Linked DNA regions of Struthio camelus. The protein of the gene in region 3 binds, or shares a complex with, the protein of the main gene of each other region. Links are inferred from orthologs where the notes say so. Each region holds a gene or a part of one and is shown on either strand. Other genes may lie near its edges. The genes, in order: MKS1, AHI1 and CEP290.

Evidence for each region.
Region 1: CEP290 (region 3) and MKS1 share a complex: the UniProt entries of both Homo sapiens proteins name them as parts of the tectonic-like complex. The link is inferred for Struthio camelus from reciprocal best matches to the Homo sapiens genes CEP290 and MKS1.
Region 2: CEP290 (region 3) and AHI1 share a complex: the UniProt entries of both Homo sapiens proteins name them as parts of the tectonic-like complex. The link is inferred for Struthio camelus from reciprocal best matches to the Homo sapiens genes CEP290 and AHI1.

What each region holds. Positions count from the first base shown.
Region 1 is NC_090957.1:9,051,703-9,062,654, forward strand, and holds the start of MKS1 (tectonic-like complex member MKS1), read right to left. Parts: upstream 5,349-10,952; 5' UTR 5,289-5,348; coding exon 5,209-5,288; intron 5,131-5,208; coding exon 4,863-5,130; intron 4,390-4,862; coding exon 4,234-4,389; intron 3,851-4,233; coding exon 3,753-3,850; intron 3,520-3,752; coding exon of another isoform or gene 3,496-3,519; coding exon 3,367-3,495; intron 3,074-3,366; coding exon 2,969-3,073; intron 2,556-2,968; coding exon 2,447-2,555; intron 1,512-2,446; coding exon 1,455-1,511; intron 572-1,454; coding exon 529-571; intron 1-528. UniProt on the Homo sapiens protein: Component of the tectonic-like complex, a complex localized at the transition zone of primary cilia and acting as a barrier that prevents diffusion of transmembrane proteins between the cilia and plasma membranes.
Region 2 is NC_090944.1:73,412,559-73,423,877, forward strand, and holds the start of AHI1 (jouberin), read right to left. Parts: upstream 5,116-11,319; 5' UTR 4,798-5,115; intron 4,394-4,797; exon of another isoform or gene 4,091-4,393; intron 4,062-4,090; exon of another isoform or gene 2,976-4,061; intron 762-2,975; 5' UTR 700-761; coding exon 690-699; intron 1-689. UniProt on the Homo sapiens protein: Involved in vesicle trafficking and required for ciliogenesis, formation of primary non-motile cilium, and recruitment of RAB8A to the basal body of primary cilium.
Region 3 is NC_090942.1:49,139,679-49,150,127, forward strand, and holds the start of CEP290 (centrosomal protein of 290 kDa), read right to left. Parts: upstream 4,825-10,449; 5' UTR 4,498-4,824; exon of another isoform or gene 4,140-4,497; intron 2,004-4,139; 5' UTR 1,957-2,003; intron 1,321-1,956; 5' UTR 1,300-1,320; coding exon 1,198-1,299; intron 1,056-1,197; coding exon 978-1,055; intron 190-977; coding exon 120-189; intron 1-119. UniProt on the Homo sapiens protein: Involved in early and late steps in cilia formation. Its association with CCP110 is required for inhibition of primary cilia formation by CCP110.

The DNA.
Region 1 (10,952 bases), on a different chromosome or scaffold from region 3:
GACAGAATGAACATTTAGCCTCTTGCTTCCACATAAACTCCTCCAGTACTCACTGCAGTGTGGGAGATGCAGCACCAAAGGTCTCAGGGATAGTCAGTTACTGCTGGAAGCTGGGAAAAGCCAGGTTCTTCAGCGCAACAGAACATGACCCTCAGAGAAGATTCCTTCTCAGGATGAGCCCTGTCCCTGCCACCAGATTATGGAGGTCCCATGTTTAATTGCTTTCTTTGCTATAATCTATATTAATTCCCCAATCTGTTCTCCCTTCTTCAGACTTACACGGTTTCCTACAACAGCTGCTGTGTTTGTAATCTCCAATCTGTTAATGCCACTCAAGGGATTAATTCAAAAAAAAAAAACAGGGGAGGAGAAGGAAGGAGGAAGAGGAGAAAGAAAAGGAGGCTAGAGAGAGAATCATCTGCTCTGGACTGGCCTGTGAACCAAGAATCCTTCAACTCTTTCTAGCCTTAGCCATCCCAGCAGACCCAGTTTTTGCCCCTACAGCAACTGTTAATAATAAGGACTCACCTACTTCTCCATTCACAAACAGCCGTAGCGTACCAGGAAGAGTCTATGAGAATAAGCAGATAAAGAAGATAAAAAAACTTAGCGACTATTGGTGGAACTCCTCACAACCCTCTCCCAGCAAGGTGTCACACAGATATTTCATGGCTTCTTGCACCTCAAGGCTTCATCCTTTAACCTGCTTCCTGCTGGTCAGGAAGGAAACCTGACTTCTCGTATTAGCTCACCGTCATTTCCAGAAGTGACCAGTCTCTCTGAATAGAGCCTCCCTAGACCAAATTCCCAGACTGCCAGAGTTCACTACTCTGTAAATTGGGGCTTTTACAGTACTTCAAAGTGGACACAAGATTCAGTCTGAAGTCACTTACAGTTCCCACCGTAGTGCTCCTGCACTAGCCCAAGAATAAAACAAGCACAGGAAGAGCTGAAACACACTTTTGAAGTACAAGAAGAAGCACAAAAACTTTCAGCTGCTGGGAACAAGATCTGAGCAGAACAGATTCCAGTCTGGGTAATTTGGTGATCAGTGAAAGCATACATGAGTTTGAGTTTGGAGGTGGGAAGACTGTTTAATCGAACGGAGTGACGCAATCTGTCTAGCATTTAAGAAGTTAATAGCAACCCCTGTCCCCCAAAATACAAACTTTCGTTCCTTTCTTCTCAGAATATTACAGTCAAAGGCCTCCAGACAACACATACAACCTCAGAGACTGCAGTGTCCAGGAGTCTGTGCTGCAGGTCTGACAGATGCATGTTGGACCTCCACAAGCATTGCAAATGGATTCCCTCTGCCCAATTTTCAGTAAGAAGCCACATGGTAAAAGCTGCCAACACATCCCCAGAATTACACGATCTTTGGAGACCGTGGTACACAGAGCAGCCATGCTAACCAGGTCACCCGGTGCCTACTGAGTGCCAGTGGTACTCACCATTTCAAATTCTGAGCCTACAAGACCTCTGAGGTATTCTTTGTGCCGACTATACAGCTGGAAATACAGAAAAAGTGGATTACAAAAACTGTCTTTTTGATTATTTGTTTTTGCTTATATTATTGCAAAAAAAAAAAAAAGGGTATAAAATAAAACCAATTTAAGCTGTTGATGGGCATAGCTAACAGTTCTTTTATCGTTATAGCAGATATAGAGTAATGTAAAAATTTAAGAATCTAATACAATAAAAGATGCATAACTGCTAACACTGCATGAAAGTTCAGCTTCTGAGAAGACCTTGTCAAAGGCCAATCTAGACAAAAAAGAAACTCCAAAGAATCAGCAGCTCTTAAATGACACAGTGCTAAAACCACAAGCACAAACTATTCCACTGAAATGAATGGATGGGAAATCAGTGCAGCTAAATCATGATTTCCTCACTGACCTCAAATGCAATAAGGAAGTGTACAAATCACAGACTGAGACAGATTAATAACCTATATAAACTGCCAAAGGCAAAAAGGCAATTCAGAAAGGTCAAGGCACAAAATTAGATCCAAGTATCCTGGGACATTAAGGGCAACAAGAAATCATTCTGTAATTATATATGCAGCAAGAGGAAGACCAAGGAAAGAGTTGGCCCACTGCTTAAAAGGGAAGGAATACCATCAGCAGGTGACACTAGAAAGACAGGAATGTAGGTGCTTTCTTGCCTCAGTCCTAACTAAAAACATCAACTGCAGTCAGTGGTCAACACAATGAATACCACTCACAAACGGACAAGATCTCAACCTAGACCAAGGAATGAAGCAGAATATTCAGGGAGTATTTGAATGAGCTGGAGTTTTCAAATTGCTAGGCAGATGAGACTCACCTTCAGTGACATTCATCTTGCCTAAGTTTAGGTGTCTAAAGCACTAATGTTTATGTCTGAGCTCCCTCTGCCAAGAAAGGAGAACTAGCCAGTATAATCAGTGGAAGCTGGTCCTTACATCTCTAAACACACGCTGCTCCCGTTCCTCCTCCTCCTGCTGCACTTGGACAGACGCATTCTCAATGGTGTATTTCCACAGCTCTCGCTTCTCTCCATCCAGCTCAATCCTGCAGAGCCCCAAAACACACGGGCAAAACTCCCCCATTAGGCAAAGAATAGGCCCAGGCAGCAATATTATCAACCATGCCATCCCTTCCCTACAAGGCCTGTGAAGTAACACAAGGGCATTAAAGACCGTCTCCTCGCTCCCAAGTGCCTGCCAGCATCAATGGCTCAAAAAGGGTCACTCACATCCTGCAAACATATAAGCTGTATTCCTAGGGGCTGGCTCCAAAGCCCAGATCATATGCCCAGTGACACCAAGCATAAATACACAATAACCTGTCTCAGGAGCCTCTAGAACAAAGCTAAAAATATCCCTCAACTTAAATGCTGATCCACTGCCTGAAAGTTGACCGGGGGTATCAATTTCGGCCCTCTGTATCAGTCCCGCTAGTGCTACCAGCCCTGTCCCACTCACCGGTAGGCTCCTTTTGTGCCAGTAAAGTCAGGCTTCACTGTGATCACACCATTGCTGTCTACCTTGATTGTACAAAGAACATGTTCATATTCCCTGTGACCAAGCCTAATGGAAGATACCAAGAAAGACAAACACAGTCTAAATAGAGCACATGTACACTTTCTTGTTCTGGAATAGCAGCGCTAGTAAATGCACATGGAGACACAGGAGGGAACAAACACACCCATACTTCCCTAGTAGTATAAGAAACCTTTGGGAAGTGCCTCCCAATGGAGGAAAGAGGAATGAAATAGTAGCTGGAATTACTGAGCTCTTAGAATTCCCTCCCCAGGTGATTTGAGTAGGAGGGGAGATGAGTTTCCATCTGGGAGACCAAATCAGTTCAAGATGTTACTTACTTTCCATAAGGTCCCAAGTCCCCCATGATGTACATGGTCTGAATAGGAGTGTTAATCACATGATTGTTCTTTATAAATTCTTCCGAGGGCTCCCAAGTGATGACTTTCGACTTCAGAGAACTCCCTTCTCTGTCAATGACAGGACAGCATAACCTGCATTTGTCAGACAATCAGATACAACACACCACAGCAGCCTGGCACAGACAGCACTAAACACTCCAGGATGAAAAGTCACAGTGCCAGTTCTGAGCACAAAAGCCAGTCCCTGAGAGCTCTCAGTATGCAGTTCAAGCTGCCAACTTCCACAGACCAGGTTCCTCCACACCTGAGGCACTAGTACCAAGAAATCTGCATTAGCAAGCTCTGAGCCCTAGTTTTGCACTCACATTGGCCTACGGTCTTGTCTTCTCCTCCTCACAGTGGCCATCCTCTCTGCCAGATACGATGGCACCTCATGAACTGAGTCAGTAACCTTCTGGCAGTGCTGGAAGAGAGAAACACAGTTAGAACTAGCCTAATTACAACAGGACATCCTTCTCAAACACAGTCTCACTCTTGGGGGAGAACACAAGTAGTTATGCACATACATGTAAGAACAAACTACTAAAACACTCTAGATTTCATTCTCCACTCTTGTGGCAAAGCACAGCTGAACTCCACCAGGGGAGAGGGCACCAGCTCTGGGGCACCAGGTAAACATACCACTTCTGCCTTGCAGAGGCAGTATGTTCTCCTGCTTTCATGATGTCTAGCCCGCTTCTGCATGCCTAAGAAATTATAAACATTCCCCTCTGCCCTAAAAAGCTGTAGGCTTGGCCTTGCTGACAGATACTGCTGTACAGATTATGTGTACCTAGGAGTTGGTACCTCTTCCAGGTTGGTGAATCGGTCATGATCAGTGTAGGTGAAGATGCGATAGTTCTTCCGACCTCCAGCCTTCTCCTGTTTCAGGATCTCCTCATGGTACTGCCAGTCCAGGGGAGTCTGACAGGCTGACTCATTTTGATACAGATCTACCTCAAACTGAGAGCACCACAGGTAAAACGTAAAAGCTGCACTTCATCAGCATGGTCAGAGCCAGAAAAGCTTTCCAGCTGAGATTTTTAAAGGCATCAAAGAGGGATAAGATCCTCCGGGAATCCCAGCCAAGAGCCCTATGTCCAGTATGGCCCTGATACCACTCTGGGACGAGGTAGCCCACAGCACCCACCACTGCCCTCCCAAAGGGGTTCAGACACAGCAGCTCACCCCAAGGACAGAAATCCTGAGGGGATGCACGGACAGGCGGGAGACATGGCTGTCTGGGGGCCGCAGAGGCAGCACGCTGAGGAGAAACCCAGTCAAACTGCCTCCCGGCCTGCATGCCGGCTCCCTCACAGCCACAAACGGGCGGGCGCCCCGACTAGCGGAGGAGCGGGCAGGGGAGCAGAGCGGCCGCCCGGGCGGCGGCAGAGCCGTGCCCCGGGGGAGGCCAGGCGCCGCCGCCGCGCACCCACCTGGCTGAAGAGCTTCTCCTGCCACGCCACCACGGCCTCCTCCTCCTCGTCCGGGGGCCGCCGGGCACCTACGGGACAGGGGCCGGTCACCTGCGGCAGCACCCTGCGAGGGCTGCCCCCGGCCCGCGCCGCCCCCGGGGCACCCCACGTACCGGGCGCGGGGCGGGCGGCCAGGCCGAGGAGCTCGGGGCGGCGCGGGCCGGCGGGCGGCGGCAGCGGGGCCTGCTGAAGGAGGAGGCCGGCGGACGTGAGCCGCTGGATGCGAACCCTGCGGGGAGGGAGCACAGCGTCAGGCCGGGCCGGGCCGGGCCGGGCCGGGCCGGGGGGGGGAGAAGCAGTCCCTCACCGGAGGCGCAGATTGCGCACGGGGTCGCGGGAGCGATACACGGCGCCGGCCGCGTCCGCGCTCCACAGCGGCTCCTCCATGGCCGCCGAGCGGGCCGCGCGCCTCCTCCCTCTGGACGCGAGGCCGCGGCGGCGCGTGAGGCAGCGCCGGCGCCAGCGCCCCCCGCGGCTGGCGGGCAGCGGGCGGCCCGCGGCGGCGGAGCGAGCCCGGCGGGGCGGGGGCGGGCTGCGGCCGCGGGGCCGCGGCGTCGGTGATGCGGGCCGTCCGCGCTGCTGGCGCCGTGCCGCTCCCGGACCCGAACAGGCCGCCCGGCTCGGTCGCGGGTTGCCTTTCCGGAGACTGCGTTGCGTCCTCGCCTCCTGCCCCCCAAGGCTGGCGGCACTGAAGGGAGGGGACGAGCCTGCACTGGCGTGGCTGCACTGTTAGTCTGATGTGACTTTTAGCTTTTTTACCATCCAGCATTGTGCTTTGTCAGCACAACTGGCCTTGGTCCTTCAGCAGCTCCCCAGTCGTTGTCCCTCCACCACATTTCTGACAGGCCTGTTTCAGAGTCCAGTAATCTCCGATCACGGTCTTTTAGATATTCCACATGTGGAGGGTGCAATGTTTAATTTCAGATTTACTTACTTGAAGGTATTTGACGTTACACGGGATTTTGATTTAGCAGAGTGATACAGCAATATACTGAAACCACAATACGAGCGTAAGTTACACTTAGCAGAATACAGCAATCGCAACATACAGTTAAATCCCAATACAAAAGTGATTCCCATTACTGGTCTCTGTAATATGCTCACCATCACAATGCTGGGCTTCCCCAGTCTCAGGGAAGAAATACGTGGATTGGAAGCAGCTCAAGCCCATTGCTCTCTTCAAAATTCCTTTTGCTAGTTGTTTAGGTTTCATACTCTATGTTGGGCCGAGTCATGTGTACACCCCCTGCCATGCTGGTCTGGCTAACTCAGGGAGACATTCACACTCTTTTGATTAACTCTGGGAGAAATATTTACATAACCTGTTGATCCACTCAACTGTGATGGAGTCAGTGGATCCACTTGACTGATACAGCCCTTTATCTAAAACAAAGGCTGCCCTCCAGTCCCCTTTGAGTTGAGATAAATTCAGCTTTCTTTGCAACAGCTGTGACCAGTCACACCTTACATTCTTCCCCGACCTTCACGGGCACATCACCCTTGCCCATATTCTCTGATCCGTCTTCCATCGTAGGCACTTATTGATTGGTCACAGCCCAGTACATCAATGTCTCCATTTAGAGCAAGACATTTCCAAGTGCCTGACTCCTTTCTCAGCCTTCTGGCATCCCTGTAGAAGGTGCATACTGCTCTGGTTCTCTTTCACATCCTGTGCTACTCCTTTCTGGGCCTAGTTTTCATTTCTTATGGGACTATTGCCTTCCCAACTACAAAGGATAGAATTTCTGTGGCCTCATTCACAGCGCATGTTTCACCCAAGGCTCAGGCTCTTCTGTCCTGCCACCTTCCCCTGCTCTTCAGTTTGGTGGGAGGCCCACCAGCCTGATCCCTTGTGGTTCAAACGACCATTTCTGTGCAAAAGCAGAAAGCTTGTATAATTGTATAAGAGGCAAAATGTCATTTTCAGGGCAAATATGACATTTTCATGCCACTAATAGTGCCTTGTGTCAGAGCAAACAGTAATAGGAGCTGCATTATAAGACAAACATCGGCAAAGCTCTGGCAACAGTTAGCATTTGAAATGGAAAGAGAAGACTTAATTATGTGGTAGATTCTCAACCGTTTTCTGCACAATCAGAGTTTAGAGCTATACTGCTTTTATCAAATTTGACCTGACAGTAAGAATTGAGCTTTCAACATTCACACGGCATTGCAACATCTTGTTAATTTCAATAGTCCCAGTTAGAACAAAGAAATCTTGGTGACTTGCTGCAGTTTCTAAACAGCTTGAGTGGGTACACAGGTGAGCGGCTGCCAAAAGGAAGCAAGGTGAAGGAGAAGTGCTGCCTCCTTCTCCAAGGAGCATATTCCTGCCACCTCTAGCACTTGGCCAGCTGCACGATGAGGTAGAAGTGATTTGGCTAAAGACTAATTTTCTAAAAAAAAAATGAGTTCCCAACTTACCGCACCATTACACACCAGACCCTGCTTATGAGAGCGTTGGGACTGTGCTGTTGAGGACAGAACTGCCTCTGTTGGCAGAAATCTGCATTTAAGGTGATTCAGTGTAGCCACAAAACTACAGCCCCAGTCCCAGAGGAGGTGACGACAGTCCCAAAAGCAGGCAGTGGCTATATCTTTTTGGATGAGAAAAGGGAAGATGTGGCTAAAAATTCACCAACATCTTCCCTCCTAGAAAAAAGCAGGATTTTGACCATTTGCATCTGCACCAGCTGGGATCCAATCACAGAGGGCCCCGATGTGTTTCCAGCCAGTATTTCCACTCTGTTGTGCTGAAACAGGTCAGAATCATGCAATCAGTTTAAAAAAGCAGGGGAATTGAAAGAACAAGTCTCCAAACTGTTCTATAATTTGTCCAAGTTGTTTGCAATCATTTACTTCTTTCTGTAATTGCCATTTTCAGCAATTTGTCCTCCCCAGGTGAGATGTCCTTCCATTAAAATCAACTTTATGAAATATTGCAGGCCTGTACATGACCAAATGTATAGATGGAACTGCATAATTTTTTGGCATAAACTACAGAATGAAAAAAACATCAGACAATCTTAATGCTGCCCTGTAATGTCACTGAACAAAAAATGAGTGAAGCAATCTAGTGTCTGCAGACTCACAGAAGAGTAAGCCATCATCTAAAGATGTCTTCTAGGAACATCTTTTCTTTGTGAAGCAGCAAACAGAGTTTGGCGTTGGCTCTGGATGCTATCCACAGTAAAAGATTGAGAGAAATCTCCCTTTGTGCAGGCATGGGGGTGGATGCCAAACACAACGCTGCTTTCTAGGCCTGAGAAACGTTGGATGCTGTCAGGAATGATAATGTTTCCTAAAACATTCTCTGCTGTCCCAAAGACCAACCTTACCCTGTATTTCCTTACTTATCTTTTTAGTGCAGGTTCCAGGATCCGATAAAACTCCTCTGCTGCCTTCTGTGTACTGCACAGGATTGCAGTATCTTTGAAGGAATAGCCATGCTTGATATAACTGATGGCGCATCCTGGTCACATACTCTGCCGTTTCAAATGTTTCCATATTTTTCTTTATTCTGTAGCCACCTGGCAATGAATGGGCACTTCCAGCCTGTTTAAACAACATTTCCAGTGTCCCATATGGCATAAGTATTTACATTCTTGGAGAATTTTCTCCATTACAGGAAACATGGCATCATATATTTGTTGGGCGTTACAGACTCCTTTGGTCAGCCATTCCTGACGATATAGTTCTGAAAATGGAAGACCGCAACCATATGGATGAGCGGATGGGAAGAAATCCAGGAAGATGCAGAAAATGTTCGGTTCATCTTGACTGTTTTTCTGCATTAGCTCCTGGGCACATTGGTACCAGTTTTCTTCTGGATGAAAATTCTATGCTTCATCAACCACAATGGGAAGTCCCCATTTAAGAAGGCAACATGTGTCACAGACGGGCAAGTCTCATTTCTGGGGAAAAAAAAAAAAGTATGGATAAATAAAAAGAAGTGATCAGACAAATCTGTATTGACTATTTCTCTGTTTCTTAGCATGTTGTTGGTTGGAGGGCTATTGCTGTTTACTATCTAAAAAAGCAAAACTTCCTATCTCAGCTCCAGGGTGCTACATCATTTGCAAGATGGAAATATTTATTTCCAATGGATTGGCTGTGTGCAAGCATTGCTACACAGCCTGCCCAGCCCCTGGCCAAATGGCTTTGGCTCTGCCCTAGGAGCAGGAGTCAAAACTCAGGCCCACCCTTCCTATATGGGGGCCTCATGGCAAGGCCCCCCCCAGGTATGTCCCTCAGTCCCGCTCTCCTAGGTTCATGAACCTTGTGGTCATGGCTGTGCAGCGCCTGAGCTCCAGCAGGAACGAAGAGTTCCCTTTTCTTCCCAGAGTGAGTGGGGACAGTAAGCACTTGTGCCAGGTGATCTGCTCTGCTCAGGCCAGGGATTATTGCTTGGGTATTGTAATGTCTGAAATAGGCTGTGGTTTCCTGATGCAAAGTGTCTAGTCCACCCATGGTGGCTTGCTGACCTCTCTGTGCTGACACAAGTGGAAACACAGTGAGAACAGGACTGGAGAAATGTTCTGGCTGAAATCCTCTACCAAAAAGGCATTCGTTCCTGTTATGCTTATCTAGATGGCACAAGTCCAAGGTCTACTTCATGGCACAGCTGCAAAAAAGCTTGCATCAACCCCAGCACGGACAATGTTGAGGAAGGCAGGTGGTCATTTTTGGTGTCAGCACCAGGCTTGACAATCAAGAGTGTTAAACTAAGACCTTAGTCATTTAAAGTCTAACACAATCCAGCATTCACTGAATGTGTGAGTCTCACTGCAGTTAGCGAATGCTGTATCTGGGCCAAAGCTCAGTTCATTCTGGTTTTCATTCCCATTCCTTCTCTTTTTAATATCCACACCTTTTCTCAAAATGATTATTGTGTGTTTGTGTCAGCCAAAGATATCTATTCGGCAAATGGATGCCAAATCAGCAGAACTTATTCTTTATGTGCAGAGAATGGAATGCAAGAAAAAAGGGGAAATATACACATTTCCACATGCTTCCTTGAAACTCCCTGCTTAGACAGTTTACAATTAACTGAATCTAGCTACTTCAAAATCTGACTGAGATTTAAAAATCAGACCAAGATAAAAACAAGTGAACCAAATTTCTTCTAAGTCTATGAATGTTTTGAGTCAGTGACTTGTGACCCTGCCTCTCCAAGGAAGTGAATGATTACAATGATTTAGAGCCACAAGACAGAGCTGCAGTGGAGGTGGTCTATTGGTTTCCTTGGAGTTGCTCTTAATTCTCTTGAGAATTAGTAAGAGGAGGGTTATTCTGAAGTTATTTTGATTTGATATTACTCAGGTAACACCAATTTAATCCAAGTGACCAGATCACTTCTTACCCTACAAACTTCTTCAGAGACTGATTTTCACAGTGGAAGATGTTTCTCATTTGCTCCATGATCTTCAAAGCCACAATTGTTTTGCTTGTTCCAGGAAGATCAAAGACAAATTGCTTCTTGACTTTGTGCAGGATCTTGGAAAGCATCTCAAACTGTTTGAGAGTGAGAGTGAGCCAAGACAGTCTCTTAAATAGGATCTAAACCTCATCACAACTATTACAAGTGCATACAGGAAGGAAGAGATGTCCGTTGAAGGGAGGACGCAATTCTCTAGGTACAGGTTGGAGTAATGACCTGGGTTTTCTTGGTTTTCTTGCTGGGGGGTGCCATCCCCTGGAACTTTCATCTGGTTGGTGGGGCAGTTCAGATGCAGCATTTGGGGAATCACACACACTTTTGAAGTCTATCCCTCATCACTGACTAGCTTCTGCTTTGATGCATAAGCAGTTTCTCTTGAGCATTCAGACTCAGCCAAAGAGGTATCTCTGAATACAGCACGCAGTACTGGATATGCATCTTTAGCTACTAAGAGAATATTGCACACAACGTCCTGGTTTTCCAGCAATCCAATGTCAACAGCCCAGTTTCTTGAAAATATCAGTACCCTCTCATTAAATGGAAGGATTTGCTTTTTCATTAAATCCTGTAATCCAGGATACTCTGAGAACAGTTCAGTGCAGATGGTTTCT
Region 2 (11,319 bases), on a different chromosome or scaffold from region 3:
TTTCACTGACAATGTAAACTTCCTGAGGATAACTCAGCAGTAAAATTATGAAACGCACCACATAATTTCTCGTTGCAGAAGTCAGCACTCTACCGATTTTGAAGGGCATACACAACAGGATCAGTACAAGGCCCTAGGCTACCTGAAGCAGGGGACAGATTACTGCCCCCCTTGTTCACATGCAGCAGTATACTGCTGCTGGAGATAACATGCTGCTTGCAGAAGGAGTGCTGGGTTCAAACTAAGGCTGGAACCCAGAGGAGACAAGCAGCAGCTGCTCTCTGAGATGGAGCTGCAACAGACAGGAGTGCTCATGGACTCGAACTCAACAGGAGCTGAGACTCTGCCTTTCCGCGAATCATGAAACTGCCATTAGCACCATTTCAACCCTTGAAGCAGGAGGTGTTCTAGCTCCTCCCCTGAGGCATGCTCATTTGTAGCCAAAGAATTAAAAGTGTAATTTGGTACATCACTAAAAAAGGCTATTGAATCTTCAGCTATTATATGTTTACCATTAGAAGTAAATTTTTACCAAAAAAAGGCAAAAAAACCCTCGAAAATCAGCTATGAACACTGACTCAAAACTAAGTCAACGCATTACAAATTTATAGATAGAAGTAACTCCTATCATTCGCATCTAGTTCTGATTATAAAATACATATTAGAAATCAAACACAAAATAATCTTACCTGGTGGCATTTTCAGTTCTGAATTAAGAATGGCTCAACATACTACCCGTTTCTTCCTCCGAATTCATCATCCTATTTAAAGTAATTAACAACTTTAATGAACAAATTGGTCCATAGACTTGATACTACAAATTTAATGCATGCAAATTAATATCAAGGATGAGTACAGGCCTCAATTCAGGCATACAACACAAACAGCCTGAAAATAAATATTCGCCCTAGTTATGACAAGCTCTCTGCCCTACCATCTCAGCGCAGGTTTCTCCCTAATCCGATGCTTTTTATTTGTGAATAAATAAAAAACAATGCTACAACAATTTAAATGACTTTTTTTCCTGGGCAGCCAAATATCTCAGTACTATAGTCCTTCTATCTTTTAAAAAAATGCACGATTTATCTAAACAGTTATCCATAAAGCCATTTACAAAGAAGCCTTTCTATCAGATTCCTGCCCTGATAACATCATCAGGAAAGCAACATTTTAGTCAGCTGATAGCCTCCAGTGCAAAGATTCATAGCTGCCAGTAAATCTAATTTTATTGCAAATTTCTAAATATTTACGTTTACATAAATCCTTTGCATTTTACATAGAGCAGATGAGCAGTTACACAAAAGTCATTTCTTTAAAGAAAAAATGTTAGGCCCTCCTGGAGGGGGAGAAAAGCTTAAAAATGCAATCCAAGTAAAGCTTAAAGGCAAATAATATTATACAGCTTTATCTTTTCATCAACAGAATTTGATATGTTTTACAAAAAACTTCAATACCAAACAATTGTTTTGTAAATAGTGGAACTAATGAAGCCTAGCTTCCTATGTGTGTATTACCTTCCCCTTAGCCTTACATGCAATAAATTATTATACCTACCTATCTCACCAATAGCCTGTTAGGCAATAGCTCCAAGTTCTCTTCATGTAATACCTTCTGTTACACCCTACTATCTAAGTACACCCAGACTAGTACATCCTAGTACATCCTACATCCATCCTAGTAAATTAAGATGTACCGGCAAATATTGCCAGTCTATGTAGTTAAATTATCCCTGGCACAGTTTTAGTCCAAGCCAGCTAGCATTCCCCCAAACAGTGCTACTTACTGCTTACAGTAGCCTAGTCTGCCAACTGGCCAAGCCAAATCAAAAAAAAAAAAAAAAACCCAAACAAAACAAATAAGCAAACAAACAAAACCACCCCAAAACAATAACCACTCAAAAAAGGAAAAGACCTGAGGCTGGTTTGGAATTACAAAAGTACTGATTAGTCAGCTGCCAGGTTTCATTAGTTTATTTTGTGTATCAAGCAAAAGCATTTATACTAACTATCCTACAGTCTAAGCATGTTTGAAATGGGCAAGGCTGACCAGAGCTGCCTTCAGAGGAGGAAAAAAAATGTTTTGTTCCATAATACGTTTCATCATTTCACCAACAGGGTAGCAGTATTTTCCCTTACTAAAATGTATTTTGCCTGATAAAGCAAATCTTTACTGTCACAATTAAAACAGTAATAGTTAAAAGTAACACAAACGCCTAATTCTTACAAGATATGAAGAAGAAAACATGATTAAAAATGAATCTGCCTTTGAAGTTTATACTTAGGTACATAGAAAGCCCATTCTAAAGCCCATGGCTGTTAAGTGCTGCTTTTCAATTACTGAATTCACAATCAGCTGGAAAATATTTATAATTTGAAAGTGCAGAAAATGAAATATAGCTATAAAATATAGCAGAGTCTGTCACTTTAATCATTCACTGCAGATTGTAGAAACACAAAAACTGCTGTTATTATTAGCTTAGTGATTTCAACCACCTTTGAAAAAAACCAATGCTTTTTAGATTTAATACAAAGAAAAAAATATGAGGAACAATATAGAACAAAACTGCAAAGTAAGCATGGTGTATACCTATTCCAAGTATGAAAATAATTTTATAGCCAAATGATAAATAAATCACACTACAAAAAAACTACAGACAAATTAATTTTGCAGATATTTTTGCTTATCATTGAACAATTGCCTCTCCAAGGGCTTTGCCCGTCTTATTTCCACCACTATTCCTCTGCAAAACATACAACGTACCAAATTCACCGGTGAGTTCACCACTCTATATTTACCTCTATTTACTCAGCAAAAATATCTATCTTAGCAAGTCCTATGACAGCGCTGTTATTTCCAACATATTTCCAAGTTAGAATTACATAACCTTTGACATAGCGCATTAAAGCAACTTGTGTAAATATAGCCCATTAATCGACAAGGGTAAGAACAAGGGTGTTTGCTCTGTATAATCTCACCTTAAAATAGGAGAGAGTTAATCGCACAAATTCAGCAACCACAGTACCCCGATCTGAATAAATTCAGTTGTCATTGAGGTGCATCTGTTCAGTGGTATTTCTGCATGATCAACTTTCATCTTTTCTGTGTTAGCCAATATAAGACAATGTTTCCAGGAATGACAAAAAAAATCACACTTGGGAACAGTCAATTCCAGCCATCGAGAATAGCCAGAAAAACAAAATCATGGAGCCAAAGCTTCCAAGAATTTACTGGGCACCTTTCTGAAAAATCATCTAATTTGCTGTCCTCTAATATTTTGTCTTTATTTATAAATGTTTTTTTCTCCAATTCATCAAGCTATTGCTGTCTTCACAATAGCTATATTTTGTTATCTGTCATAGAGATGTTTTCTATCCCAAACACATCACAAAGCACGCATCTCAGGAAAATTTCATTAACCCCTAAAGAAAAAAAGTCAAATCTATATCGTAATGAAGGAGAACATACACAATTTGTTCAATGTTACATGGTAGTGACAAGCCCCCCTATCCGATTAAGATCGCTATGGAAACTGAATTGATAGACTATAATTGCATCCTTCAGAATTTTAATGAACTAAATCTCATATTTTTCCACTATTGCAAAAACTAAATGTAATCTTCAGTGACTAGAAACAAATGGAATCAGACTTTTAAATTAGATCAGTCATCATAGTGGGATACCTTGGGTTTTACTAGTAGGTTTCTCACTTAAATATTTATAGGTATCACTCACTTAAATATTTATAGGTATCACTTCTTCTTCAGAGCTGAGAAAGGTTTAAATCATAATTATACAGCAAAGTAACAGTAAAGAATCTGTCCCTATTTACTAATGATGGATGTGATACCAAAAAGGAGCCCATTTTTATTCATGAAAGTTATTTAAGTGGCATTGGCTGTCAGCTTTCTTAAAAGCCTTATTATTACCACATAAACACCTATGAATCAGCGTATCGAAAGTATTACTAGAGCCACTGCAGCTTTCTAGCTGTTTAGACGTACCTGCAACAAACTTGTGTCCACACTACTTTAAAAGAACATTTAAAAGCGCTGATGCTATCTATCCATTGAATTGTGCACGAGTAACATACCAGAAAACTTTAGTTTCTGAGTAGTCGTCATTTTTTCCAGAACTCTCGGGACCTTTCGTTAGTTAGAAGGTTGAATTAAAATCCGTCCCTGCCCTAACGGCAAAACTATGGATTTCAGTTTCCTATAAAGCAGTACATCTCACTTGATTACTTCGTACAGTTTTAAGTCTCTGCCTTATCACAGATTACAATTACAAAAATGAGTTCTCGGTAACAGACCACGCTTAGGTATTTATTTCCGGAACGCTGTTTCTCTTTGCCTAGAGGAATAACGGAAAACAACAGAGATATCAAGGGCCACTAGAAGCATCCAGCACCAGGGGACTAACGCATGGGACCGGGGCGCCCCCCGCCCGCCCGCGCGAGCTCCGGCAGCTGCCGCGCGCGCCAACAGCTGCGTCGCGGCGCGCGCTGTAACGGCTGCCAACCCCCAGCCCGAGCCCCCCGCCCCCGGCAGGGGGAAGGGGAGAGGGATAGGGCGACTCCGAGGGGAGGGGGCTCGGGGGAGGGAGCAGCGGCGGGGAGGCGTGCCCCAGCCTACCCGCCTCTCCAGCAGCCGCGCACCGTAAACGGGCGGCGGCAGCGCCCAGGCGGGACCGCGGCCCTACGGCGGCCTTCCCGCCCACAGCGGGGGCACGGCCCGGCGTCGCCCCGCTCCCCCCCGCCCCCGCCCGGCAGCTCCTCAGCAGCGCGAGGGCATCACTCACTTTGGCCTGTCGGCTTCACGCTCGGCTCCGTCCTGCCGTTGTACTGCCTCCCCCCGTCACTGGTTTCTCCCTCATCCCGCGAGCTCCCCCCCTCGCAGTGCCTCGCAGTTGGTTTTGCCGAAAACAACTACAAGCTGCCAAGGAAACAGCGCGCATGCGTGCAGGAGGGCGGAACGGGGAGCCCGCACGGCTTGGGTTTCACGTCGGGTCGGATTAGGTGGGGCACCCACACGGCCCTTCTTGCCGGACAGGGGGCGTCGGCTGGACGGCAGCGGGGCGCATGCGTGGCGAGCTGCCGGAGCTCAGCGGAGCGCGCCTGCGCGGCGGGGGCAGGTGCTTCGACAGGCGTTTCGGCAGTTTGTGGGGCGCGCGGGGGGGCGGCGGTGTTCCTCGTGCGCATGCGCGAGGACGACTGGTGGGGGTGGGGCCGCCGTCGTGCGGGGCCGGGCAGCGTCCGTTTTCGCGTTTGGCGCCCCGAGGCGGCGGTGGCGGCGCGGCGCGGCGCGGCGCGGCTGGGCCTGGCCAGGAGCGCTCGGGCCGCTGCTGCCGCCCGCGCCGAGGCGCCGCCTGGAGGCGCCGCTTCCCGCGGTGTAGTGCCACTCGTCACGGCGCAGGGCGCTGCGGAGCCTCCCGGCCTCGCGGCAGTGCTCGGGCCGCCTGGCGGCAGGCGCTTCCCGCCGCCGGGTCCGCCGCAGGCTGCGGCCAGGCGGTGCCTGGCGGAGCTGGCAGGTGGCGGGGGCCGAGACAAGCCCTTCAGATAACATTCTCCGCCGCGGGAGTGCGCTGGCCCGGTTTGCACCCCGCCTTTGCTCGCTGCGCCTACGTGACTGCGTGTGGAAAATGGGAGAGAAATACTAATCATTTAAGAGCGATGTGCCTTGCACAGATCTCTTTATTAGACCAGGACAGTGTATTTTACAAAACAGAGAAAGGTCAGAAGCTTTCATTAGTTCTGCAGTTGCTCAGGCGTCCTGAGCCTGTTCGTAGCTTTGCGTTCTAATGGGTGACAGATTGATAAGCCCCTTCTTGAAAAACATAAAGTGGGAAGTTAAAACAGGAAAAAAAACCGTGGAAAGCTTTAATAACAGAGCAGTCCCGTAAAGATACCTTAAATTGTAGTTCATTTCAAAAGTCAAAACCCTTCTCTGGGCTCATACTAACAGTGAAAGTTATTTTAGAATAATAAAGTCTCTGGCTAGTAGATCTTTATTGCAATCGGGAGTTTTTCCGTGGACTGCAGAGCAAAGACATCTGCTCTTGCAAATGGCAGCACAGACGTATGTACTGAAGTTAGACAGATGCTTCAGAAACTTTTGTTTTCTCTGTGATTTAGTTGCTAATTTAAGCAATCTTTTGTTCTCTAGGTATAATTAAATACTGATGATTATCAAGACAGATTTGATCATTTCTTATTTGTAAGTGGATGTTGCAGGTTTCTTCAACGCTAGAGGGCTCACTGTTTTAGCTCCTGAAATCAATGCCGGTCTTGAATTAGCGTGACTGTATCTGTTCATAAGCCAAATCAGGCAAAATTAGTCTTCAGTTCACTTTCAGTTGACCATGTACCATTTGTATGACCTAGAGGTCAGTGAATGCTTGTGATACTGTGGTTGTGACATTCGCTGTTCTCAGGTATAACAGTTCCTAGAATTCTGTCAAGATACACCATCTGTGTCAAAAGAACATACGTCCTTCTTTGTTTGCTCCTCAAGATGCATTAATAGCAGAAGCTATTTTCTTTTTCCAGTTCTCTTCTGCCCTCCTCTTTCTCAAATGCATGCAAATGTTCAACTGGTAGGGGAATGAGGTATTAGCAGGACAACTATTGCCTCTCACGGTTCAGATAATTTCATTTTTGCTTATTACTGATATATAGGAATCCCTGTAATATGGAGCTTCTTGGTTACTAGTGACTGTCCCTATCGTTAAAATGAAAATATGGAAAACCAACCAAACTAGAACCAAATGTGGAAGTTAATCCTTTTTATATTTAAAGCTATGAGAAATTCTACCGATTCTACTGAAATTCTACTGACCACCTAATGGTCTCTGGGCTAGTCGTAAGCTAGATATCTCAGTCAGCGGCAGCCTTTATTTTGGCGTTGTGGTCCCAGGAAGTTCCAGCAAAGAATAGAAGCCTTCCATGCCACCTCTTCCATCCTACAGGTAAATTTCTACGTCTGTGGTCTAGCAGGATTCAGGAAAAAAGGAACCTAACAGTTTTTTCCAGACCTTGTATGTCCCAAACTCTGATGCAAATCCTAGCCCCAGCCTTCAATACAGAGTACGTGTCAAAATGGTCCCCCAAAAGAGAATACTGGTTGATGATTATTGTGATGTGTTTACTCTGTTCGACTAGCCGTACTTTATCTCCATGGTTTGTTTTAGGATCCAGCAGAAAAGTTACCTCTTCAAAACCTTTTTCCCTGAACCCGAACACCAATACCAATCTTAACACTTTGGTACAATCAGGAAACTCTATTATAATAGTGTCAAGAGACTTAAGAGTAGCCTCATAAGTATTTGCAAGCCAGCCATCTAAGTTTCTAACAAGCATCTAAGCATTATTAACAAGCCCTAGTCCGAACTTCAACCTTGGCTTCTAATACAGCTGCAAAAGGCTTTTAATACAGCTGTGAAACCTACTGAAACCTACTTCACCTCTGCCAGTAACTACCATTCTTGCAGTCTTGCTAATGTCCATCAATGCTCTCTTGAGTAAAAAAAAAAAGCATTCTTATAATAATGATTTTGATTTTTCTATAGGATGTTGACTATAGTGACAGAATTGTCAAAACCTACAGGGACTGTTCTTACCCTCTGTTTGCAGTAATTAACTAATATTCTAAATAACTTAGAATTGCTCTCCATTTGCATATTATATCATGGACATCTTGCAGGTCAGGGAGAGTGTTTATTAGTTTTCCTATTTCAATAGGAAATAGCTATTTCAATAGCTTCCTCAAGGGAAGGGACAGAGCTGTGGTAAAGATGTTTGTCTCTTACTAAAGCAACACCAGCTTACTTCTTTTAGAATGTCTTACCTTCTCACTGTAGAAGGATTGAAAGGTAACTTAAAATGCATTATCAAGGGCAGCAGAACATTCTGTCCTTCAGATTTGACAGCAGGTGCTGCTTTATTGGCTGCATTTGTAGGCAGTACTGAGTATAATAATCGTTGACTTTTGCTAACACCTGTCTTACCATAGCATTGTCAAGAGAGCGCTACTTGGCCCCGTTCAAAACTGTCAAGAACCATGCTGACAATTGAACAATGGGGGCAGTTGCATATGAGACCTCAAACCTTATTTAGTTTACCGGTTATTGTGGTTTAATTGCAGCTATTAATCAGGATCTGCGATTAGAGAATATGAGAATGGGGCCTACATGGTTTCTGCTCCAAACTTCTACCATAGCTCTGTTTCTGCCACTTCTGGACTTTTAGCTTCTAAATATAGCCTAAATATAAGTGTCTGATATTATCCAAAATAACCTTTGACACCCTGCTTGGCCTCCAGCTCTGTTTTGGATGTTTGATATTCTCTTGGCTTTTCCGAATTATATTCTAGTCAGGGGTCAAATAAAGGTTGTTGTTTTAACCCTAGTGTAGTTACTATACCTCCACAGGCTATGCTTAACTAACTTGGAACTGGGCTGCACTGCCTTTTCCAGTGCTTTATTAGAGCTTTGGCTGACACTTCTGCTGAGGCAGCTGTCCCTAGGACTGTGGCTAGTAGCCCTATGCCAAGTGTGTCAGACATGGTGTAACAACCTGTGCTGAAAACTAGATATATTCTTAAGAATCTGTTATAGGACAATGGTGAAGACAGACTCCCAAAAGCTTTCCACATACCATGTTCTACTGCAACCTTAGACCTCCCTTGCAAAGGTTCGCAGTTACCTGGTATAATGCCACACAAATGCTGTCCTTCCCCATAAACATAAGGCTACACACACTGCACATCTGCAGATATTCTAGAGCAGTCTGCCATGTGATACCAGTGCAGCACCTATCCTGGTGTCTGTCTCCAGGAGACATTTTTTATGAATCAGGATGTTTTGCCACTCACCAGTTCTCTAACGGAATCATTCCCATGTTACACAAATTAGTTTTGCTAATTTGCGAGGCATACTAAGTGAGAATTAATAAACAACAGCCCCTAAAATTTAACTCTTCAGCCAGGACTCGGCTTGCAGCAACAATAGCTGGATTCATATTTTAATGAGTTCAGTAATAAACAGTCTCAACCTCTCCAGCCAGAAACCTGAAAAAATTAAATGCTCACATAAACAAATTAGCTCAACAAAAAGTATCTTTTGAAGGGTGGGAAGAGACAGGGCATTTCAGAGGTAGACTACATAACATACAATACTTAGTTGTTCTCTCCTGGAGTGTACCTGTTACTCTTTCCTGCCTTCAGGGTAAGCGAAGGGTTGGGTGGCTAGCTCGTTCTGACTTCCAAAATGACCATCTCACTCATACTTAGTAAAACTTTAGGGTGATCTCTGCTTGTATCCCTGCTCGTAGCAAGAAGTGATCCGTACTACTGGTTACTGGTCTTGCTCCACCAGTGATGCTGGTTGCAATACTAATGCTAGTTCACTGGAGCTTTTTTTTTTTTTTTTAAAGCAAAGCTGCAAAGAGTATTTAGGTTTGCATCCCAGGGCTCCAAGCCTTACAACTGACAGTTTTCCTCATTTCATAACATTTTTCTCTCTTTCTCTCTCATCTATCTACTCTTTTCTCTTATGTTCAATTCACCTTTTTTCCACCATATATCAAAAGAGTGTTCCTTCTGGGTTACGCCTTCCGGTATTCTAGGAGAAGAAAGATTTCTACTTTATTCTTCAGGCCTCAGCCATCTGATTTGCAGTAGACCCTGAAGGAAATCTGGGGTTTGATAAAGGTTGATACTAGTTACAGGTTTGTGAATGAGAGAAATTAAAGCCCCTATTTTTCTGTGGATGGCTACGGAAGACTTTCAAGATTATGTTAAAACTGGAGCCCGAAGGGTCAAGAGACTGGTGTATAGATCTTCGGTTTATCACTGCAGCCTGAAAGGTACCTAGCAATAAATCTAACAGTCCCACCTGCCCCTGGCTTCTGCTACGCCTATTACTGATCCATAGTCCAAAAGGCTGTTATGGTTAGTTCTGAATTAGTAAACAGCTTACTGAGGATGTGGTTAAGAATAGTTCCAGTATGAGACCCAGGCTCTAGGAAGTCACAGAGTCACAGACTCACAGAATGGTTGAGGTTGGAAGAGACCTCTAGAGATCATCCAGTCCAACCCCCCTGCTCAAGCAGGGTCACCTACAGCACGTTGCCCAGGATCCTGTCCAGGCAGCTTCTGAATGTCTGCAAGGAAGGAGGCTCCACAACCTCTCCGGTTCCAGTGTTCAGTCATCCTCACAGCAAAGAAGTTTCTCCTCATGTGCAGATGGAACTTCCTGTGTTGCAGTTTGTGTCTGTTGCCTCTGCCGTGTCCTGTCACTGGGCACCACTGAGAAGAGTCTGGCCCCATCCTCTTGACACCCTCCCTTCAGATACTTACACACATTGATCAGAATTCCCCTCAGTCTTCTCTTCTCCAGGCTGAAGAGTCCCAGCTCCCTCAGCCTTTCCTCATATCAGTCCCTTCATCATCTTAGGAGCCCTTCACTGGACTCGCTCCAGTGGCTCCGTGTCTCTCTTGTATTGGGGAGCCCAGAATTGGACACAGTGCTCCAGATGTGGCTTCGCCAGGGCTCAGGAGATGGGGAGGATCACCTCCCTCCACCTCCTGGCCACACTCTTCCTAATGCAGCCCAGGATATCATTTCACCTTCTTGGCCACAAGGGCACATTGCTGGCACATGGTCAACTTGTTGTCCACCAGGACTCCCAGGTCCTTCTCTGCAGAGCTGCTTTCCAGCAGGTCAACCCCCAGCCTGGACTGATGCATGTTGCTATTCCTTTGCAAGTGTTCCCTTGGTTGAACTTCAGGAGGTTCCTCTCCGCCCAACTCTCCTGCCTGTTGAGGACCTTCTGAATGGCAGCAGAGCCCTCTGGTATATCAGCCACTCCTCCCAGGTTTGTATCCTCAGCAAACTTGCTGAGAGTGCACTCTGTCCCTTCCTCCAGGTCACTGATAAATAAGCTGAACAATGCTGGACCCAGTATTGACCCCCGGGGGGCACCGCTAGCTACAGGCCTCCAACTTGACTCTGTGCCACTGATCACAACCCTCTGAGCTCTTCCATCCAGCCAGTTCTCAATCCACCTCACCCTCCACTCATCCAGCCCGCAGTTCCTGAGCTTGCTTACGAGGATGTGGTGGGAGACAGTGTCAAAAGCCTTGCTGAAGTCCAGGTAGACAACAGCTGCTGCTCTCCTGTCATCTGCCCAGCCAGTTGTCCCATTGTAGAAGGTTATCAATTAGATTCGTTAAGCATGATTTCCCCTTGGTGAATCCATGCTGACTACTCCTGAGCACCTTCTTGTCCTCCACACACTTCGAGATGGCCTCCAGGATGAGCTGT
Region 3 (10,449 bases):
AGTGGGGCTGGTATTTCATTCAGTTCCTCACACTTAAAAAAAAACTACCAAATGCACTTAGCAAGTCATTTATAAACGACATTAAAGATAAAAGGTCTATTAAAAAAAGGCTTGCTTACCACATTTGGCTTGCTCTTCCCCAGCTTTTTCAACTTCTTCTAATGCCAGCTCTACCTCCTGAGCTTTCATCTGGAAAAAAAATAGTAAGTAAGAAAAGAAAAAAGGTTTACTATTAGCATAAGTTAACAGACGGTTCCACATACCTCGTGTTCAGAATTTTGAAAACATTTACCAAAAAAAAAAAAATAATAATTTTCTCTCTTCAAACAAATATAACCACTTACATATTTTCACTTCGCTGATGGACACATGACAGTTAGGAACTTTATGTTGTTGAAATATCACCTTTATTCTATTTACCTATCTAAACAATCCAAGGCTATGGTTAAGAAAAATGACTCAAAAAAGCCTCTCTAAAAGCTATGTGCTAACCTCTGCGGCTTTAATTCCTTGCTTCCAGTATATTTATGAGTGAATACAAGACAGCATGATAGATTTACAAAAATAGTTTTAGGATAGATGTGTTTCTTCCATTAACGGTGACATTTATGCAATTTAGGTTATTCCAAAACATCAGACTGCCACAAAAATTTTTAATAAAGTTAAAATCATTACCAATAATTTACAACACCTTACCTATTTCTGAGGTATTTGCTTGCATTTTCTACCTATAAAACTAAGCTTCCTTAACTATACAACTGCTTTAGTTCTATTCTCTTCAGTTCCCACTGGTACATGCTACAGTCCTAACAGCTGTAAGCAGGAATTCAGGTGCATGCACACATTTAGCATATAACTGCTCTAAGGAGTAAGCAGTGTGTCCAATGCAGTAAAAAAAAAAAAAAAAAAAAAAGAGTGACCATGCTTTCACTTACATAAAATAAATAAACTACAGAAGTGTAGAAAGTAAAACAAACCTTCATTAGGGACTGTGTAATTTTAAAAAGATGTATCAATTGTTCAGAAGCTTCGTTTTTTAAGTCTTTTCCATCAACCTAAGGAAACAGACAACAGTATTTTTGTATTAACGTCAATAGAATTTAAAAAATAAATCATTTATTTATGTGAAGGACCAGAGAGAGTTGAGGGAAGAAAGTAAAACAAAACCCTTCTGTTCACTGTTTTCCCCTTGAGTACCTTGGACATAGTCTCCAGCAATCTATCTGCTAGTTCCTCTTGATGAGGAAGAGCATCTGGATCAATTTTCATAAGCTTCTTCCAATCTAAAATGGGTGCCATGTTGAGTTTATAATATTTTTCCTGGAACAAAAATAAAAGTAACAATTATAAGATGTTATCACTGTCAATAAATCATTCATCGAATGATTTAACAGCGGCAGGCCAGTGAACCACATAAGATGATACTAAATAGCTGTATGGATTTTGTAACACAGATTAACACCCTGTTCACATTTCGGTCTACTGTAACCAAGAGGTCTATAATAAAACCTTTTTTTAAGCTAAAAATTAGACCAGACACAATCAAAGAATTCGTGCCACAAATACTGAAGATGACCCATGTGAAACCTTCATTTTAACTCTTATTTTTTTTTTGTCCTTCACAATTTTCTAATGCAGCGCCCCTATGTTAATGTATAAACACTTGTTCTTGCAGCTAGATGCTCTTTTTTAGAACTAGCATTTGCAGCTGCTGTAGGACAGAAATCTCCTTATAGTGACAAAATCATTATTTCTTATGTTTAAAGCACAGCACTTGCTTTAGTTTGATACTATTCATATCCATTTGTTGAAATTCATTTGTAAGACATTGAATTCTTGTATTAAATATCCTTTCCTTCTGATTAGAGTACCTGAACCACAAAAGTACAGTGAACCATCTGGAAACTGATGAAAATCTAATCTGGAAGCGGTGCAAAGTTTTGTTTTACAGTTTACCTGATAGTTGCTGCGGGTCACAGTGACTTCCCATAGGCCTGGAGTACCTGAAAAAGGCAAAAGAGAATGGAAGTCTTGGATTACTACATTCTCCAGAGCTGTTCCTACCGCCATATCAGCAATATGTCGAAAGCTGAATTCTGCCAAGTTTAAAAGGAATATTTTTAGTCTACTTACATATTGCCCTAAATTAAAAATCCGTCTTTTAACGGTTCAGAAAGTTAAGAGAGACATAAAATTAACAAGAATGTTTAGTTCATTAATACTAAGTAAACTAATAACACAAGTGGGATAGGTATTTTATGATGGGGGGGGGGGACTTCTCTCAGAACTACAGCAAAGCTGTAGATTGAGTATAGTATTTTGATATCTGTTCATCATTCACCCTGTTCACATTCAGCAGTTTGAAGACTCAACAACTGAAAGTTCCTTCCTTAATGAAAGTGATACTATTTTCCCAGGAAATATGCCTATGTAATCTGAAAGAACTGGAAAACTCTGAACTCCTAGTGTACACATAAGTGAGGATAAAAATCAAACTCTTCTCATCTGCTTTGATGCATGCTACTTGACAGCTCTCTCTGTATTTATTGTTTCTTTAGTTTTTACTAAATGTTTTAGAAAACATGCATTCTATATAATCCATGGCTTCCTAACAATATCATATACAAATTTTGCTTTTCTGATTTTCCTAGAGGACAAAGGAAAATACCAGAAAATCACATGCAGGAGACATTCAAAATGTCAGTTCAGCAGATGCAATGAAGAGAAGACATATTCATAAGGATAAAACGTTATTAGAGCAGACAGAAGAAATGACCATATCATACCACAAATATAAAAAGACTGAAAAAGACTAAAGGGCAGAGAGCACAAAAGAGCTAACAGCATCATAAGGATATGGACCATAGTCAGTGAATGAGAAATATTTAACTTAAAATAGTAATTAATACTTAAATTCTGAGTTCATCTCTTCAAACATAATGGAAGGCTTTCAATAACAAATATGTACCCAAAAATCTGAGAACAAAATCATCTTCTAATAGTCTTTCATTTAAAAAATATAATAATAGAGAAAGAGCATACTGATCTTGGCACACCTACTTCTTCAGTTAACTGAAGGCTACTTAATTTCAAGATCCTCACTAACTTACTTGTTTTTTTTTTTCCTTTTAAACACTTTTTTTAAAACAATTGAGAGGCAGAAGTTATGAATATGAAATGCCTGACAGTCAAAATTATTCTGAGAGCATTATTACAACCTTATTACTGACACTGTTATCCAATCTTCCCTCTTTAAAATCTTTTTATTTATTTACTAAATAATGTCTTTAAGAAAACAATCTGAAATTGTATTGAAAGAGATAGATATATATCTATCTATAATATATGTAAACAAAATCCAACTTGTTGGGGGACAACTAGAGTAAGCTCTTGGGGGCACAACCTAAACGTACAGTACATTCCACACTATGTATATACTTGAGGACAACAAAATAAAGATAAGTTATTCAATTGAAAAGTGTTCCGTCCTAAAATTTAGCTGACGCCTTCCCCTCACTACAGTGTGTGCCTTTTAGCTGACAGATCTGGGTGGGGAGAGGAGATCACGGTTCTGTAAAAGCAGTTAAATATACATGAGTTTGACTTTAGTTAACACAAGATTTTCTTGGCTTAGCTAGGGAACCAAGCATATATAAAACATTCTGATGTTAGAGAGTTCTGTAAGGCAGATAAAAAGGGAAGTGTGGCGGGCAAGTTCAAGTTATAACACCCAGTGCTGCCTACAATAAGCCACATGAAGAGAAGACAGCTAAACTACCATGCCGATACACTATCTTCATCACAGTGAATTAAGCAGCATTAGGAGGAGCCATTCCTCTTCCATAAAGGCACACGTAACATGCAATACAGAGCCACGTACACTTGAGCAAGACTAAATACTAAAAAGCAGCACAGTCGTGCAGGAGACACACTCTGCTAAATCCTTAGTTATTTACTCTAGGAGGATTATCCCAGCTTAGATCTACAGACTAGGTTATCCAGAACGAGCTCTCCTATACTAGCAGCACACAGGGCTGCACCGCACCACGAAGCCACACCCGAAACGGGATCCCGTGCAGGCTTCCCGTTTCTTTCAAATCTGTATATCGCGGCCCCGGGAGTGACAGCGAGACACACACCGCGACTCCTCCGCGATGCTGCCGAGATACAATTCCGCCTCCACTTCGCCCGCCTCCTCCGGAGCGGCAAACCACCTTATTTCGTGTCCGCCTTCAGGCGGGGGCGGAGGTGACGCGCAGCTGTAAGCGGAGGCAGCAGGGCGCAAACGCGCACCGCCCCGCAGCGACCCCCGCACGCGCCGCGTTTGTAACGGCGCTAACGGCCGCCGCCGCCCCGCACAGGTGAGCCGCGGCCCGGCTCCCCGCTGACCACGGCGCCCCCGGGGCAGAGCCGGCAGTCCCGCGCGGCGACAGGACGGAGCCCCGGGACCTCGGCCCCTTCCCGCAGCGCAGCGTCGCCTCCCACTCACGACCTCACCGCTCCCCGAGGGCCACGATGGCGGCAGAGGCCGCTGCTAGGCGACGCCATCAAACACTCCCGCCGGCTCCGCTCCCGGCGACCCGGATCCTCGTGGACTCGGGGGCGGGCCAGGCCTCCCGCGGTACTACAAGCCCCACAATGCAAGCTGAGCACCACCGATGCTCAGCATCGCGGAGCGGCGCGACCCCCGCGGGTGCGGAAACGGGGGCAGGGCGGGAAAGCGGGACGGGGTGGGGAGCCATCCCGCCCGGACACGCGATTCACCACGGCGGCAGGCGGCAACCTCCCGCTGCTGATGGCGGACTACGTGTCCCAGCATGCCGTGCGCCTCCGCCGGGACTACAGATCCCGGCACACCTTGAGGACGTCCAGCCACTGACTGAGCGGTTTCCCGACAGCCCTTGCGGGGCAGGGGTTGCCGCCGGCCGTCGCGGGGCGGTGTGCGCGTGCGCAGTGCGGCGGGGCGTCTGTGGCGGTGGCGGCGGCGGCGGCGGAGGGCGGGCGGATGCGCACCGGGGTGTGGGCGGTGGCGAGGGCGCTTCGTCCGCGGCCTCAGGTAAGGTGGGGAGCGGCGGCGTGGGGGGCCCTCCTTCCGCAGGGGGCACCGGGGAGGGGTCCGACGGAGCTGATGCTGCCCGCGGTCGTCCTCCGCGGTGGGGGTAGGTGTCCTCTCTGCCCTGGCCGGGCGGCACGGGCCTCATCCGCGCCCACTCCGCACCCGGCCGCGGAGGCCCGGGCTCCGGTGCCGCCTCGGGGCCTCGGTCGCGCAGCCGGCTCCGGGGGCGGGCAGTGGGCCCCGCGCTGCGGCTCAGCCCGCTTCTTTCCTCACGGAGGCACCGGCGCCTTCGTGCCCAGCGGCGGCCGTTTGCCCTGCCCCCCCTCCCCCAGGCCCCTACCCCCGGCCTCCCCCTGTTGCTGCAGGCAGTGTGGGCCTTCCCGCAGGGGTGGCTGGCTGCGGGGCTGCGGCACTGCCCAAGTCCCTCTATCTGTGTATATGTGTATAAATAAGCAGGGGCTGCGGCACTCTCCAAGTCTCTCTATCTGTGTATATGTGTGTGAGTAAGTATATAACAATCTCTCCTCAAAGGATAGTTTGCAGAGCAATACGGGAAGGATCGCACCTATAGACTGGTTAGGTCTCTTGACTCTGCCGGTGGTCTGCAAGGCCCCGTGAGCGTTGGTAGTGTCGGATGGCCCCAAAGGTTTGGGATCCTGCGTTTTAGCTAACTGGGCACGAACGTACGTTTTCAAATAAAAAGGGGGAAAACAGCAACCATTGGAATTGTGTTTATGTCTTTGTATTCATTCAGCAGGAGTGCTGAAAGCTCAAGATCTTTTTGTTGGCTCTCTGTACTGATGGAGAGGGGTGATCCTAATGTAGTTTTCTGACTTTCTTGATATTAGGCTTTCTCTAGCTTCATGATTTCTTTTTCTTTGCTATCTCTTAATCAGTGTTTATATTTAATGAAGGCTGACACAACTCAAGACGCTTGGCACTCCTTACAGTTATGTAACTTGTTCCAGTAACATTTTAACTCTAATTCTTGAATGAAGGTAAAGGCTTTTATACCTTTGACAGAGGCTGGTTACTTATAGCTCTGTAGTGGGGAAGAAAAGGAAACTTTGTAATTAGGGCAGGAAAAGAGAGACAGGACTATATTTCATGAATAGGTAATGTGACTAAAAACAAAATTCATCGTTATTAAGTGTAAATCAATGATTTCTTTAGTTGGAGGAGCTTTATAGGTGGAGGTGATCCAAAGAGAATAAGTTTGGCACAGAGTTATGTGGACTTGCTGCAGGATGAGGTTTAGCATTTATGTTTGTGTTGTCGTGTTACAGAATCAAAAAAACAAAAAAGCTACTACATGTACTTGTAGTGCAACCACATCTAGTTCACAATTGTGTAGTATAGATAGTCAAGAGGATTGCTGTAGAGCTAAAGGGGATTTTTGAAGTAGGCATGATAACTTTAAAAAATGAAAATAGAATGGAAAGAATGGAAGTAGTAATCCTACATTAAAAGGGGAAATATACAAAATACAGAATGGCTTTGAGAAAGTGGATTTTTTTTTTTGTTATGCCTCACACTTAATCATGTGGTAAGAGTTTTATAAGTGCATCTTCTTTTGGTGAGAATGCATGCTTGTAGATCTGGAGCCAGAACACATTTAAGTTGTATCATAGGCAGCTTGACCTACCCTGATACAGGAGTTGGGCATCTGTATTAAACCACAGTTTTGATATAGTATGCTGTTTCAAAAAGCTAATACAAAAACTGCAGTATTACAGATCTAATAAAATGTTATTTACGGAAGAGGCACATGTGGTCCAAGCATACTAAATAAGGACATGCATAGCAGAGTCTAAAGGCTGCCTTTTCAGCCTATGCTACCCATGTAGCATACTCTGATCTATGGAGTTAATGAACATGCAGTTAATAGTATTGTATTTCTGAAGCATTGAGGGTGTTGATCTGTTTGATTAGCATTATTTTAGAGATGTGATATTTTGCATCTGTGTCTTAGGAGGAAACATTGCATTATATTCTTGCAGTTATTCTGAATATAGAAGGTATTCTTTTGTTACTTTTTAAATGTATAGCTTAGTAGCAAAAAAAATTTAAAGGCAGACCTAATGAGTTATTAAGTCCTGTAAGAGTTAATTATTTTAAGATATGTATTATTCTTGTGTAGTTTGTATTTCAGCTGATTGTTACATCAAGTGTATTGAACAAATTGAAACTAAACAATGCAGTATCTTCTTATTATCCATTTTTACACTGTATATGTTTTGATACTTGTTTATACCAGGGTACCTAAAATGTCTGAGTTCTGGTTCAGCTGGCTGATTGCCAGCAAACTTCACAGTCATCCCCACTCTGAAACTTCTCCTCCTTCCTGCACCACATGTTCTGACTCCGAGTCAGAATTGGCGTTCCTTAACTAGTTGATACTTAATAAACTGTGCAAAGAGAAAGCTGGAGGCTTTGAGAGTGTAATGTATCCCCCTTATGGGGATTAGAAAATTATGCAGATTAGTCCCACTTCCCCTTGATCCTGTGGTATTTGCAGAAGGAGGTTGCTCCATTAAAACTTCTGTTAATTTTTTTCTAGTCTAGGGTCCCAGCCAGAGGAAGGGGAGTACAGGCATGTTTTGTGTTCTTCCTCCTTCTGTCTTCCCAAATACTGCCTGCCATATGCTATTCTAACCCAATCATTTAAACCTCAACTGTGGATCTAAAGTGCTTCAAACTGAAGTTGAGCCTTGGGACAGCATTTTTAGGAGAAGATAAGTTTAAAGGCTGTTTTGAAAAGGGACAACAGAACAAACAGAAATACAGTATATGATCTCTTTCTATCATTAAACAGTGATACTAAGTCAGCAGACAGAATATTTGGTTTAACAAAAATGAAATAATTATAGAAAGGGGACCAAGAAGGCAAGACAAGTGAGGCTACAGCTTCAGGTGCTGGATTAAAATAACTTTTTAAAGTGACTAAACTGCTAGCTTTGGCAACCTATCGTATATGTCTGGTATTCACCAATTCAGCCTTCTTTGTTCCCCCCCCCCCACACACACCTTTCATAGTTTGAGTCACTTTTCTGTGTGAGCTGTAAATACATTTCAATTAGTTAGGGAGCCTCAGTTATTATCAAAGTACATGTCTCCAGAGTAACTGAGATGCAAGTCCAGTTCTGCAGATCTCTTCCATGTATGTCTGTGTCTTATGCTGGCTTAGAACTCCAAGCGAGAGAGTGGGGAATCCACATGTTATGATTAGGTATGTACACAAATGATCATTATTATGTTTACAAAGGTTTTTGAGAGGCTACCTGATCCCTGTGCAAATTGCTTGTTTTTTCATTGCCAGCTGCCTCATTAATATAACACAGAATTAGGCTCCTTGAGATAATAATTATGCTTCACATTGCACATGCAAGGCACTCTTCATCAAAGTGAGCCTATGGAGTTTTGCAGACTGGCCACACTATTGCTTACATTGTCTATAGAGAACAGTTGCAGTTTGATTGTGGTTGAAAATGCTGTTGTCTTGTAATGAAGCTTTGGTATGACTGAAAGTGTAAGGCATTTTTTTAATATCTGTGAATATTTAATAAAATTGAGAATGAGAATATTTTCAGTGTATGAGAATGATAAAGTTAAGTCTTTAGAATGCAGTAAGATTCTGTTGTGGACAATGAATAAGTTGAATCATTTTCTAAGTTTCAGTTTTCTGATGGCTTGTTACTTTTGTTGGTTTGAACTGAATTTTAAATTGGAAGCCAGAGATATCAATAAGATGTCAGTTATGCTGAGTGTCTTCTGAAGTAGTAAGTCCTCTCATCCAAAAGCTGTAACAGTTTTAAAGTTTGAGATGAATTTTAATGATCTTGTCATTAGATAAGATCTAATGATCTCTAGAAATCTTGAATGGGATTAAGTGTATGAGCTTTTTTCCCATACAGAAGTATTTCCTTTTTTTTCTCCCCAATTCTCTATTACTGCTGCTACCCGTATCTTTCTGAAGAAGAAAAGGATGAGTTGCCTAGAGCATTTTCTTTCAAGCAGGGTTCACTGAAACGTAAACTATTCTTCATGCCAGCGGTGCGGGGGAGGGGGGGTGTAAAAAAGGTAAGTGCCATTAACCAGTACAGTAAAATTTTTAAATATGTTTTCAAGCTTCTAAAAGTAGGTCTTAAGTTATATCTAATCAACACAAATGTATTATTTGTTATTTCCTTCTGCAAGGATTTATTGTAAATGTAAGGTGGCAGATAGCATATTTATTAGCTGATAGTTAACTATGGAATGGTAAATTGCTGTTTTATGTTTAGGGATTGCAGCTGTATTCCTGCCCAAATTTATACTTTCTAATTTCTCCTAAATCCATATGGGTAGAAAGTGGCTTCCCACTTCCCAAATCTCCCAACTGAGGATACCATTGGAGTGTCACTATGTGTTCGTTTGTGCATGTATTTGTGTTGAACTTTCTGTGTAGACAACTATACTTTGTAGTGTGCTGTCCTCACCTGTCTATGGTATCATGGAGTTGATAGTGATTGTTAAGAAACTTTTTGTTATTTTGCTACTTTTCTAGAAGTGTTTTGGCTTTTATGTCATATCCCGTTCTTGTCTATAGTTCTTGAAGAAGAAAACTAGATGTACTGGCAGAGGGTTCTCAACAAATTGGAAGAAGAATACTATCTTACAGGCCAAACCTACTGGAGAGCTCTGGATCATGAACGCCTACTCATCTGTCTTTCCTGCTTAATGGCTCTGTACAGGCATGAAAATAGTGCAATGCAAACTGTAGATTTCCATGCAAGCAGCTTGACAAAATTAGACTAACAATCAAGTATTTTGCACAGCTGGGGCATTCTGTTTTTTCACAAGCAGCTCTTGAAATCTTGCAGCTTCCATCTCACAAGGTGTATCTTGCTGCTTGTTGTTTTAAGCTGTATATTCTTCATGAGGCGTTCAGGTATCATTGTAAATTAAAACAGCAGTCTTGGAAGTAAAGCATATGTCTGTCCTCACTTCCTCCAGTCAAACAGCGACTTTGTGGCAGTTCTGTAGATTGTGAGTGGATAGTCACGCTGCCCGAGGGGTGATTTGATGTGCAGTCTTGCAAGCTGTGAAAGTAAAGGTAACTAAAGTCAAAATATAACTTGACTTACCATCAACCTGTTGATCTGTGTAGGGCCAGTCAGTGATATGGTTCTCCCTCCCAGAAAGCCTGTGTTAGCAAGACAGGTTGTTAGGCAGCATGTTTTAGAGGTGTTTATCAGTATATCCATCACTGGGAGTGGTGAAGGAGTGGCACCGTACTTGGGTTGATACCAAATTTCAACATGTCTCTTTGGCAAGGATGATATCCACTCACCTTGACTCATTTGAGGACCCCTGTGCATACCAAGGCTTCTCTTGCACATCTATGATCTGTG